Arabidopsis thaliana: one gene and its partner. The protein of the gene in region 2 interacts with the protein of the main gene of each other region in a pairwise test. Each region holds a gene or a part of one and is shown on either strand. Other genes may lie near its edges.

What was found. The genes of interacting proteins can lie anywhere in the genome.
Region 1: the proteins of TCP20 (region 2) and SARD1 interact in a protein complementation assay, tested with the Arabidopsis thaliana proteins (one study listed by BioGRID).

Annotation. Positions count from the first base shown.
Region 1 is NC_003070.9:27,744,288-27,751,284, reverse strand, and holds SARD1 (Calmodulin binding protein-like protein), read left to right. Parts: upstream 1-2,036; 5' UTR 2,037-2,106; coding exon 2,107-2,198; intron 2,199-2,494; coding exon 2,495-2,573; intron 2,574-3,232; coding exon 3,233-3,770; intron 3,771-4,564; coding exon 4,565-4,725; intron 4,726-4,807; coding exon 4,808-4,996; intron 4,997-5,119; coding exon 5,120-5,216; intron 5,217-5,324; coding exon 5,325-5,524; 3' UTR 5,525-6,062; coding exon of another isoform or gene 6,063-6,266; 3' UTR 6,267-6,495; downstream 6,496-6,997. Other genes in the region: GIP2 (mitotic-spindle organizing 1B-like protein (DUF3743)), read right to left, coding at 6,063-6,266. UniProt on the Arabidopsis thaliana protein: Transcription activator that binds DNA in a sequence-specific manner, 5'-GAAATTTTGG-3', to promote the expression of target genes. Recruited to the promoter of ICS1 and other defense-related genes (e.g. PR1 and SID2) in response to both biotic (e.g.
Region 2 is NC_003074.8:9,956,863-9,960,809, reverse strand, and holds TCP20 (TEOSINTE BRANCHED 1, cycloidea, PCF (TCP)-domain family protein 20), read left to right. Parts: upstream 1-1,864; 5' UTR 1,865-2,055; coding exon 2,056-3,000; 3' UTR 3,001-3,166; intron 3,167-3,250; exon of another isoform or gene 3,251-3,269; 3' UTR 3,270-3,434; downstream 3,435-3,947. UniProt on the Arabidopsis thaliana protein: Transcription factor that binds to the site II motif (3'-TGGGCC/T-5') in the promoter of PCNA-2 and to 3'-GCCCG/A-5' elements in the promoters of cyclin CYCB1-1 and ribosomal protein genes.

The sequences.
Region 1 (6,997 bases), on a different chromosome or scaffold from region 2:
TGTCAGCGTCACTATTTCATATGAAAGTCCTCATGGTGGGTTTTTATAGGTGGATAAGACTTTCATGTTTTCTAAATAAATTTTATTTTGTAAATATATAGAGTTACCAAAATATATGATTTGACAGCTTATTAGTTTTTACGGTTTGTTTTTCGTTGTTTGATTAGGTGATTCGTTGTTCACTTACGTGACTAATATGATTGTTTATTGATAAGATTTGGAGATGACTCGAGCTCATATAAACTAAGCCATTGATGTCGAAAAACTGTTTAAAAAATTTAGTCGCTAATGTATACTCACGCGGCTGTATTGTCCCGTACGCGGCCACTTTTATTTTGTATTGAAGTACTAACTTACGTTTTAAAAATTAGACTGAAACTCAAACTAAAATCTGTTTTGTCCCGTACGCGGCCATTTTTATTTTGTATTAATGTTCTAAATTACATTTTAAAAATTAGACTCAAACTCCAACTAAAATCTCCAGCCAGCATATATATATAGAATGTTGCTTAGTCAATAGTAACAAAATAATTGCAAATGTAAAGGCTGCTTCCAAGAAAAAAAAGGCAGTCCTATATCTTTTAACTTGATATCTTACAAAGTTATAAAATGGATTACTCACATCATAGTCTTTGAAAAACTAAAATTATTATGAAAAGGTACATATTAACACACCCAAAAATAAAAAAAAATAAACGTTCTTGAGTTGGCAACCCCTAAAAGTGGATGGCAATTCAGAAATGGGCTTTTAATGTTTAGATTCCATAAAAAGTGAATAGATGGTTCTTATTCTGTGTATGTGAGATATCAATATCATCGTGACAAAGACTATGTGACAATTACCATACAATTTATCATGGAGGCAAAGCATTACAATTATAATGCTACCAAAAATATTTTGAAGTTAAAACAAAAAAAACTTATTAAAGTTAATTAAAAGCAAGATTTTCGACAGAGACTAAACAGAGTCGATTGAAGCTAAAAGCACGACAAGTTTTGAGAGGATGATTGAGATTTGTAACTCACCCGACAAGAAATTACCCGAAAAGGACAAACCAATTCAATGAACCTTCGTCGAAATCATTCACTTGACCCTTTATATAGTATAGTTTATATTAACACATAAGAACTTGGATAATTTTAGTTTCCTTTAACGCATGACATTTCTATATTAAATAAAAACTATTGTTGTTTTTTGTTCTCCTGCTTAACTTAAAATGACAGCTATTAAATTATCAGGATATTTTTGGAAACCGATGTAAACCGAAAAAAGGTTATTATAAGACTTTCTTTCCTTCTTTCTTATTTGCTTAAAAGATATATAGTTCAATTTTTTGTTTTCTTGCTTAAAGAAAAGATAGTTCAATAAAATTGTATCTATATAAAAGGGATTGCTAAATAGACATACACCGTATTTATCGGACGAGACCAAGAAGTTCAGGTTATTGCAAACTTTGCCTTTTTGACATAAACTTTAGAAAACAAATCTGAACCTGTCTTTTTCTCTGATTTTCATAATTTTTACTAATTAGGTTAGAGAGGAACAAACATGAATCCGAATTATATAGACAATCAATTTTTCATAATTAAGTATGTTGATATGATGATATCAATAGTGTTAATATTCTTACAAGATAAAGAAAGGAACAAAAATTCTTCGAAGAACGGACCGGATCGATCGTATACTCGTAGTGCTCTCTCTACAAGAAGTAATCATGTGGCATATGGATCACGCTTTATACTAGCAGTTAGATCTAAAACCCAATCGGGTGGGAAGATCGGAACCGTCCATTTGTCAACAAAGGAAGCTTTCTAAATTGGAGTTGACGTCAAAAGTCTCCCTATTTATGACGCCATAAATAGATTATTCGCGTGGATCAGACTTCGGACTTCTTTGGATATTGCCAGGTTGTTTCCTTTGTCGTTCTTCGAACTTTCTTTATTTTTTTTTATTTTTTTTTGGTTTTTGTGAGACTAAAGACTAAAACTATATAAATATCATCGCCGTATAAGATTATGTCAAAACATTACAAAACCTAGTTTTGATCTAAGCGCTCTCTCTCTAACTCTCCCTCTCTTTCTCTCACAACTCACCAGAACAATTCCATGGCAGGGAAGAGGTTATTTCAAGATCTTGATTCTGACCAAGAAAATAAGTCCGAGAAACGGATTAAATCTGTACTACCATCCCTTGCCTCGTAATTTTTCTCAGAAACTTTTCATTCTTTTTTTCTTGTATTGTGTTTATGATGAATCATTTCTACAAATCTTAAGTTTTGTTTGGAACATGTTCAGTGTTCAATCCTCTTTTTTTCTTACACATCTTATCCTTAAAATCTAAATATAAATATATGCTTGTATTTTATGTATATGTTCTATTCACTCTCTCTCTTATCCTTAAAATAATATCTCCTTTAGATCTTACTACTCTTGGATTTTATTTTCTATTCACCTTTTTCTGATAAATTTTTGTTATATTTTTTGTTTCTTGCAGGCCAATTTCCAGTGTGTTTGGAGCATTGATCTCAGAAAACACCCTTCGTTCTGTCCTAGAGCCCGTTATTAGAAAAGTTGTAAGTATACTATAATAATTCCACTTCTATTTTGTTATTTCTAAATACTTGTTCTAACTTCTAATTAATGTAGTGGATATATATATATATATATATATACATGGATATTTCAAATGAACGAGTTGAGAATTAGAATTTCATACTTACCATGTTTAATCAACTACACATACTTAAAGTAACAAGTGTAATTTAACATACAAATATACTAGTCTAGCATTGACGATGTCTAGTGTGCGAATTGGAACTTGATAAAATAAGAAAATTTCGATCATGTTGCTAATACTATATACATTTTAGGTAACAAACATATGCATGTACATGCATAGTTGCATTCTTATATCATATATATACACATACGTTATTAAGATAGTACTAAATATTTACAAAGTTATAAATCTTTTTAGTATTATTAATAAACAAGACCTCTCTAACCTAACATTTCAATCAACTATATCTAGAAATAAAAGACAAAATAATGGTCCACACACGTACACACACACATATATGCTAGTACCTTTTAAAAGATCTATATATTGGCCTACATATTTAATTTATTAGTATGTATTGTTTAATTTGTGTAATAAGGATATCAAATTATTTGTTAATATAAAACAGATAAGAGTGTTTTATAACTCTACTCGTTTTGGTAACGTGACCAGGTAAGACAAGAAGTGGAATATGGAATTAGTAAACGATTTCGATTATCTCGGTCATCGTCTTTCCGTATCGAAGCTCCGGAGGCGACTACTCCGACACTGAAGCTAATTTTCCGTAAGAACTTAATGACACCAATATTTACAGGGAGTAAAATCAGTGACGTGGACAACAATCCACTTGAGATTATCCTTGTTGATGACTCAAACAAGCCGGTGAATCTCAACCGTCCAATCAAACTAGACATCGTTGCTCTTCACGGAGATTTTCCTTCGGGTGATAAATGGACTAGTGATGAGTTTGAGAGTAACATCATCAAAGAAAGAGATGGGAAACGGCCGTTACTTGCCGGAGAAGTAAGTGTGACGGTGAGAAACGGCGTTGCAACAATCGGAGAAATTGTGTTCACAGACAATTCGAGTTGGATTCGTAGCCGTAAGTTTAGAATCGGTGCGAAAGTTGCGAAAGGGAGTAGCGGTCAAGGCGTTGTGGTTTGTGAAGCGATGACTGAAGCGATTGTTGTTAGAGATCATCGTGGAGAATGTAAGTTTATTTTTCTTTATTACTAAATATTTTACCTAATTAGAAATTAATGAATATATAACAAATAAATCTATGCATCATATATAATGAGTTTTGTGCATATATTCATTAAGCAGTACTCCACTAGGGGATGTGATAGTAACATATCACTAGTTTCAATTATCTTTGACCTGACCACATTTGGCATCTTCTTATGGATTACCCTACTATCAATCATACATAACCTTTAAGATAATCATTTATACAACACATGTGCATCAGAAATCCATTAAAATGATGTTTTGTTTTCGTCAAAATTTATTTGCATAATTTCGTTTTCAAATTTATTAACATATCAATCTATATTGATGCTTTTGGCTTTATCTTCTTAAAAAGAATCTTAGTTTTTCTAATTAAACACTAGTATAGAAATATAAAATTTTTTGGGTATTACAAAATTGTTGTATCTTGTCATGATATGTTTTGGGCTTTTGGCTACAAATATTAACTATACTTGCTTTAATTTGTCTTAATATATATACACATTCAATTTTTAATTCTTAATTAGAAAAAAACTACTAAAAGTATTTTCGATGTGGACCGTATGCAAACGACTATCCCACTTTATACAAGAGCCTATAAGTCTTTGGTCAATCAATGCTTATATCGTATTAATTAATACTCTGTATATTTTCCGAATCTTATAACAATCAACAAACACATGCATAAAGCGAATACATATAAAGAAGATACATAGTAGAAAACTAGATATAATTCTAAATAGTTTTGTTTTGTACAACTTGGGGTTGGTGAAGTGTACAAGAAACATCACCCACCAATGTTAGAAGACGAAGTGTGGCGGCTAGAGAAGATAGGCAAAGATGGGGCCTTTCACAAGAAGCTCTCCTCTCGCCACATCAACACTGTCCAAGACTTTTTGAAACTATCCGTCGTTGACGTCGACGAACTCCGTCAGGTTTAAATTCTTAGCTTATTTGACCCCTAAATTTTTATTATTATTAGAGAACTAATAGGAATAGGGGTTTGTTGATGTACAGATTCTGGGGCCTGGAATGTCTGATAGAAAGTGGGAAGTAACATTGAAACATGCTAGAGAGTGTATTTTGGGAAATAAGTTATACATTTCTAGAGGACCGAATTTTTTCATGATTTTGAATCCGATATGCGAAGTTATGAAAGCACTTATCGATGGTCATGTTCTCTCTAGTCAAGAATCCCTCAACCAGGTATTGAATGGTCATTTTCTCTCTATTAAAGAAGTTAAGCAATTATTGATAGCTCAATGATTGTTTATTAGTTAGAAACTGTATTTATTTTTTTAATTCATCTATGGTAATGTTTTGTTGCAGCCCTACGTTAAGAACTTAGTTCGAGATGCTTACTCAAAGGGGAACTTTTTAGAAGTGGGCGAACGAACAGCGAACGAGGCTGCTCTTTTGACACAAGGTATTACTTTAAAATAGTGTCAACATAAACACCATTTCAGTTTTTCTATAATTGCGAAACATCGTTGATTATATAGTATGTTACAACAATGTAATTTTGATTATATAGGTGATGATTTGGACCAACAATATGCTGCGAGCCACTACCAAAACATCGAAATCGATAAATCATATCAACAAAACGGATATGTTCAAGAGAGATCTACAAACAATTTGGAGATAGTAAACGAAGGGTATATAACGACTCCAGCGGAATTCAATATATGTTTCACCGGATCTTCGTCTCAAAATCATATAAACCCTTTCTAAATCCTCATCTACGTTAGTATTGGAAGACACGCCATAGTGCCTTGGCCGAGATTGGACTCTTTCTAAATAAGGGTTTAAACTTTAAACTACTACTACGTACATGATGGTAAAACATGTATTCTAGATCTGCTGATCATGATTGTACATAAAAGTGTGAAGTTTAGAGTTATATTTTTAGTTGGATGGTATACCACTTGTTCACGTTTTCACAGTTGTATGAAAACGTTGTTTTTACCATTCACGTTCAACAAATTTTTACGTTTTTACGTTTTAGAAAAATTGATTCCGCTGTATATGTACGTACTTGATGAAAGTATTGACTAAAAAAAGAAATCAAGAATATGAGGGTAACTTTGTGATTTACTTAAAGAAAGCCTCTCAAAAGGATTGAGTGGGGATGACTCAAATACTTATTACCAATTTGTCTCTGAAACTCTCTATTCAATTACCTTACCAACCCTAATTTACACATCAATAGCATAATGAAATTGAAACTTAGAAAACAAGCATGAATGATACTATTTGATTAGGCATCTTCTTAATCAACCGTAGTTGTTGTTGTAGCAGAATCCCTACGAAGCTCCTTGACGAGAGTAGCGAGAGCCTCAGGGTTAAGACCAATATCGCAAAGAGCTATAAGAACAGACAAAGTATGTCGATCAAGACCTGTCTCCAAGATGTTCGACATCCGAAACACCAGCTCCAGTGACTCTCTCGCTGTTTCAGCTGCTTCCTGATTCATAATACTCTGAAACCACCAAACATCATCCAGAACAAAAAAATATCAATTTCGGAAACGATTCAATTTACATATGAATATCTACTCTATTCTTGTACGGATCTCCATGGATGTACAGAGAATGGAAACCCTTAAAGTGGAAATCGGAGACTTGCCGACGGATCAAGAGATACATTAGATCGGAAAAAGGTTAAGGAACAAAACGAACCGATTAATCGACGGAGAAAACGAACGGCGTCGAGTTTGAGAGAGAAGAAGTGAGATCTTAGAGCTTGAGATAATTGAGAGAAACGATTCTCGATCTCGTGATCGAAGAAGAAGAGGCGAAAATGGGCCAACAATTAGAATTTAGAAATCTAGGGTTGTTTTTTTTAAGAAAATAAACCTTTGGCCGGTTCAGAGTATATTTACTGGTTCATATCAAATCGGTCGGTTAAATAAAATCCGCCGGTTTTAATACAATCGAAGTCTCTGAACTAGTTTTAATCAAGGGATTCTTTTTTGTCGGAATCAAGGGATTCAAGACCTTGTTATGATTAATTCGGCCAAAATTGACAAAATTGCATCCAAATTTAGAGACTTATTTTGTAGTGATATCCTTGAAATTGGAACTTTTAACTTTTAAGTAGCTTATGTTAGTCGAATTATCCGAAATTTCTTAAAAACATATCAATGTGAATATGTGATGATCAAGATTTATTCCTTGACGACAAACACATTAATGGAAAGCCAAA
Region 2 (3,947 bases):
TCTTGTAACAATGTGTGTCCATTTTATTCATTTTGTTAGATGAAAACATCATTTCTATATAATTAAACAAATAGAATACTGTGATTTTGAAATTGAAAATTAAATGCATTGATTGTATTCAAGTTTTACAAAATGTTTGCAGAAGATCGTCCACAATATTTAACCAAACCATAAACAAATATGGGCAAGCAAAAAATAGGTGGTCACGCAGCTTTTCTGCTTGACTGAACACAACCCTATTGACGCGTTCTAGTTTCCATTGAGAGTCTATCCTTGATTGCCAACCAAGAGATGAAAGCAAATGGAAGGACAGTTTTGAGTTTTGGAAGCAAACTAACTTTTTTAACGACGTCTCTATTAAGGAAGTTGGTAGCTCAAGCTACACTTTATCACATTTAGATCGCGAATGAACAATATCCTTCAAAACTAAATGTCTCTACGACTCTACCTCACCTCACCACTTTCAAGTTCATTGATTGTGAGATCCGCAACACAATCTCTTCACGATGACAAGTAAATCATTTTTGAAACGTATAATGCAACTTTGAATTAGATGATCACACTTATGTGATGTCTTCAATATTGTTACTTTGTTTTTTATTCTTTTATTTTTGCAAAGTTGCAAAAACTGAATGTTTTAACTATTATAATTCTATAAACTTTTTTTTATTTCTTTTGAACAAATGAACTGTAAATGTTGACACACAATTACTAAAGCAGGAAATCAATCGACGACGACTGGACATGTGTTAGTGTATGATATTTAAACGTGATTATGGGCGTCATTAATATAAGACTAATGCCTTTAAGTAAAGCTAGAGAGTAGTTAACTCATTAAGATTAATTGAAGTCTAAGACTTATGAGTAGTTATGATGAAATGAGTAAAAAAAAAAGAGAGATGGTATAATGTTGTCGGTCCATAAATGATGAAACTCTCAAACTCATTCAATACCTTTAGATCTTGCCCTACAAGCGAACCAAACCCTGTGTGGACCGGCTAATTGTCAACATGTCATTGGTCCACTTGATGGACTAGCTAAAAGTACTTCCTTCTTAGGGAAGACGTTGACTTTGACTACTGTTGTAGTTTTTTTTTTTTTTTTCGTTTAGGACAGAATGAGAGATATATACGAAGCAACAATGTATTCAATAGTACTTACTCTTTTTCTAAAATATTGATTTTCTGAAAAAAAATTATGTTCTAAAGGGATTAATTTTCTACACATTGTAATTATTTAATAATAATAATTTACAAACTTTAAAAAGTAATTATTGAGATTTTTTTGAATATATCAACTGTTATTGGATTGTTACCATCAGGCTAAAGCACGATCTTTAAAATGTGTTGCAGCAAGAGGAACTCTCATCTCATGAGGGACATTTTTGAATGTTAACAACTCTTCCGTCGTGCTAATCCAATCTAGGAACTCTTCTGTTTGTAAAGTACCATAAAATTCAGGTAAATCTAACTTGAAACCTGATTTCCACATATAATTATGCCCCATGTAAAAATAGATTTTAGATCCGTCACTGTGTATCTAGTGGGAAATGAAGTGGCAGTTGTTAGACTCTCAATTACCTTTGGATTAAATGTGAAAGTGAAACGGTCACACTACTTTTTCTTTTATGTGTCGTTTTGTTACTTTGCTGTTTATGGTCTTAAAAATTGCATTGTTTGGTGAGAAACCTATGAGACTCACTCACTCGCTATCTCTCTCTGTTATTTAAAGTACCAAACCAAAAAGTAAACAAGAATAAAAAAGAAAAAGACAAAACTAAAGTCTCATACTTTTAAAGTGTTTTCTCATTTCTTTTTTGACCAATTTCGAGATCAAAAGAAACATTTTTTCTTTATTCTCCTCAAATTCTACATCGGGATCTTACTGGGTTTTTTTTTAAACATTAAATTCGTAAATTCCCAAAGAAAAAAAAAAAAACTCGATACCTTTTGTTTTACAAAGTCGTCACAATTCTGAAACCCTTAATTGAATCCAAGAGAATTTTTGATTAAATTAAGTCTCTGGACCCTGAAGTCCCCACACAAGCAAGCTTCGATGGATCCCAAGAACCTAAATCGTCACCAAGTACCAAATTTCTTGAACCCACCACCACCACCGCGAAATCAGGGTTTGGTAGATGATGATGCTGCTTCTGCTGTTGTTTCCGACGAGAATCGCAAACCAACAACTGAGATTAAAGATTTCCAGATCGTGGTCTCTGCTTCCGACAAAGAACCAAACAAGAAGAGTCAGAATCAGAACCAGCTTGGTCCTAAGAGAAGCTCTAACAAAGACAGACACACTAAAGTCGAAGGTAGAGGTCGACGAATTCGGATGCCTGCTCTTTGTGCTGCTAGGATTTTTCAATTGACTAGAGAATTGGGTCATAAATCTGATGGTGAAACTATCCAGTGGCTGCTTCAACAAGCTGAGCCATCGATTATTGCAGCTACTGGTTCAGGAACTATACCGGCCTCTGCTTTAGCTTCTTCAGCTGCAACCTCTAACCATCATCAAGGTGGGTCTCTTACTGCTGGTTTAATGATCAGTCATGACTTAGATGGTGGGTCTAGTAGTAGTGGTAGACCATTAAATTGGGGGATTGGTGGCGGTGAAGGAGTTTCTAGGTCAAGTTTACCAACTGGGTTATGGCCAAATGTAGCTGGGTTTGGTTCTGGTGTGCCAACCACTGGTTTAATGAGTGAAGGAGCTGGTTATAGAATTGGGTTTCCTGGTTTTGATTTTCCTGGTGTTGGTCATATGAGTTTTGCATCTATTTTGGGTGGGAATCATAATCAGATGCCTGGACTTGAGTTAGGCTTGTCTCAAGAAGGGAATGTTGGTGTTTTGAATCCTCAGTCTTTTACTCAGATTTATCAACAGATGGGTCAGGCTCAGGCTCAAGCTCAAGGTAGGGTTCTTCACCATATGCATCATAACCATGAAGAACATCAGCAAGAGAGTGGTGAGAAAGATGATTCTCAAGGCTCAGGTCGTTAAAAGGATTGGGTTTTTTTTTGTATCTTCTGGATTTGAAAAAGCTTTTGGCTTTTGTTTTGTGATAATATTGTTGTAATTTGTACCACCATGGAGAAGAAAAAGAAAAGGTTATATACTGAGTGAGAGTGATAATCTATACTTATTGAAACCTCTGCAAAAACACAAGGTGAGTTCAATTTGAGGATGATGATACAAGAGAGTGGAATCTTCAAACCTTTTTTTCCGAGTGTTTGTGACAATTTTTTGGCAGTTGTTGTTTGAACTTGCAGGTGGAGTTTGTTGAATACACACAGCCAGAGATTTTTTTGTTTGGAGTCTTTAAGTTGCAGAGAGGCTTGTTTTTACTTGTTCTGAGTTTTGTTGCTTTTGAATATCAAGAAACCGGCTTTTTTCAGATAGTACAACAATGGTAATGTATACTTGTCTTCCATCACATATTTGTAGAATGAAGATTTATAGCTCTCTTTTGCTCAGTATTCTTCTATTGCATCTCCAAAGATTGTTCTCTTTCGTTCGATCTCTCTGAATGAGTTAAAGACTTTCGTTTAGAGTCGAGTGTAAAACACTTCGCTGCATGTTCTGATTCAGTGGCTTTGAGCTGCAATGGATTTCACAATGATGGTAACGTTGTATTCTTTAACTCTTACTTACATTCATGTTATTGCCCTGAGTGTGCCGTTAACTGTGGGAAGGTTTTGAACTAGGTACAAACCCTTCGCAGTTGGGAACCAAATAAGCTGGTATTGCATTTACTCTTTGCCTTGCAAGCTTTTTCAAAGATAAGTATAAATTGTTCAACGAGTCAAAAAGTTTATATCATTTTACTCATTTTGACTTGAATTTGACGGAACTAAGGAAAGAGACTAAGAGAGAGAGAGAGAGAGAGGTTAACGAGTCAAAAAGTTGCTTGATCTCTATGATTTGTCCAACCAATCAAAACAAGTGAA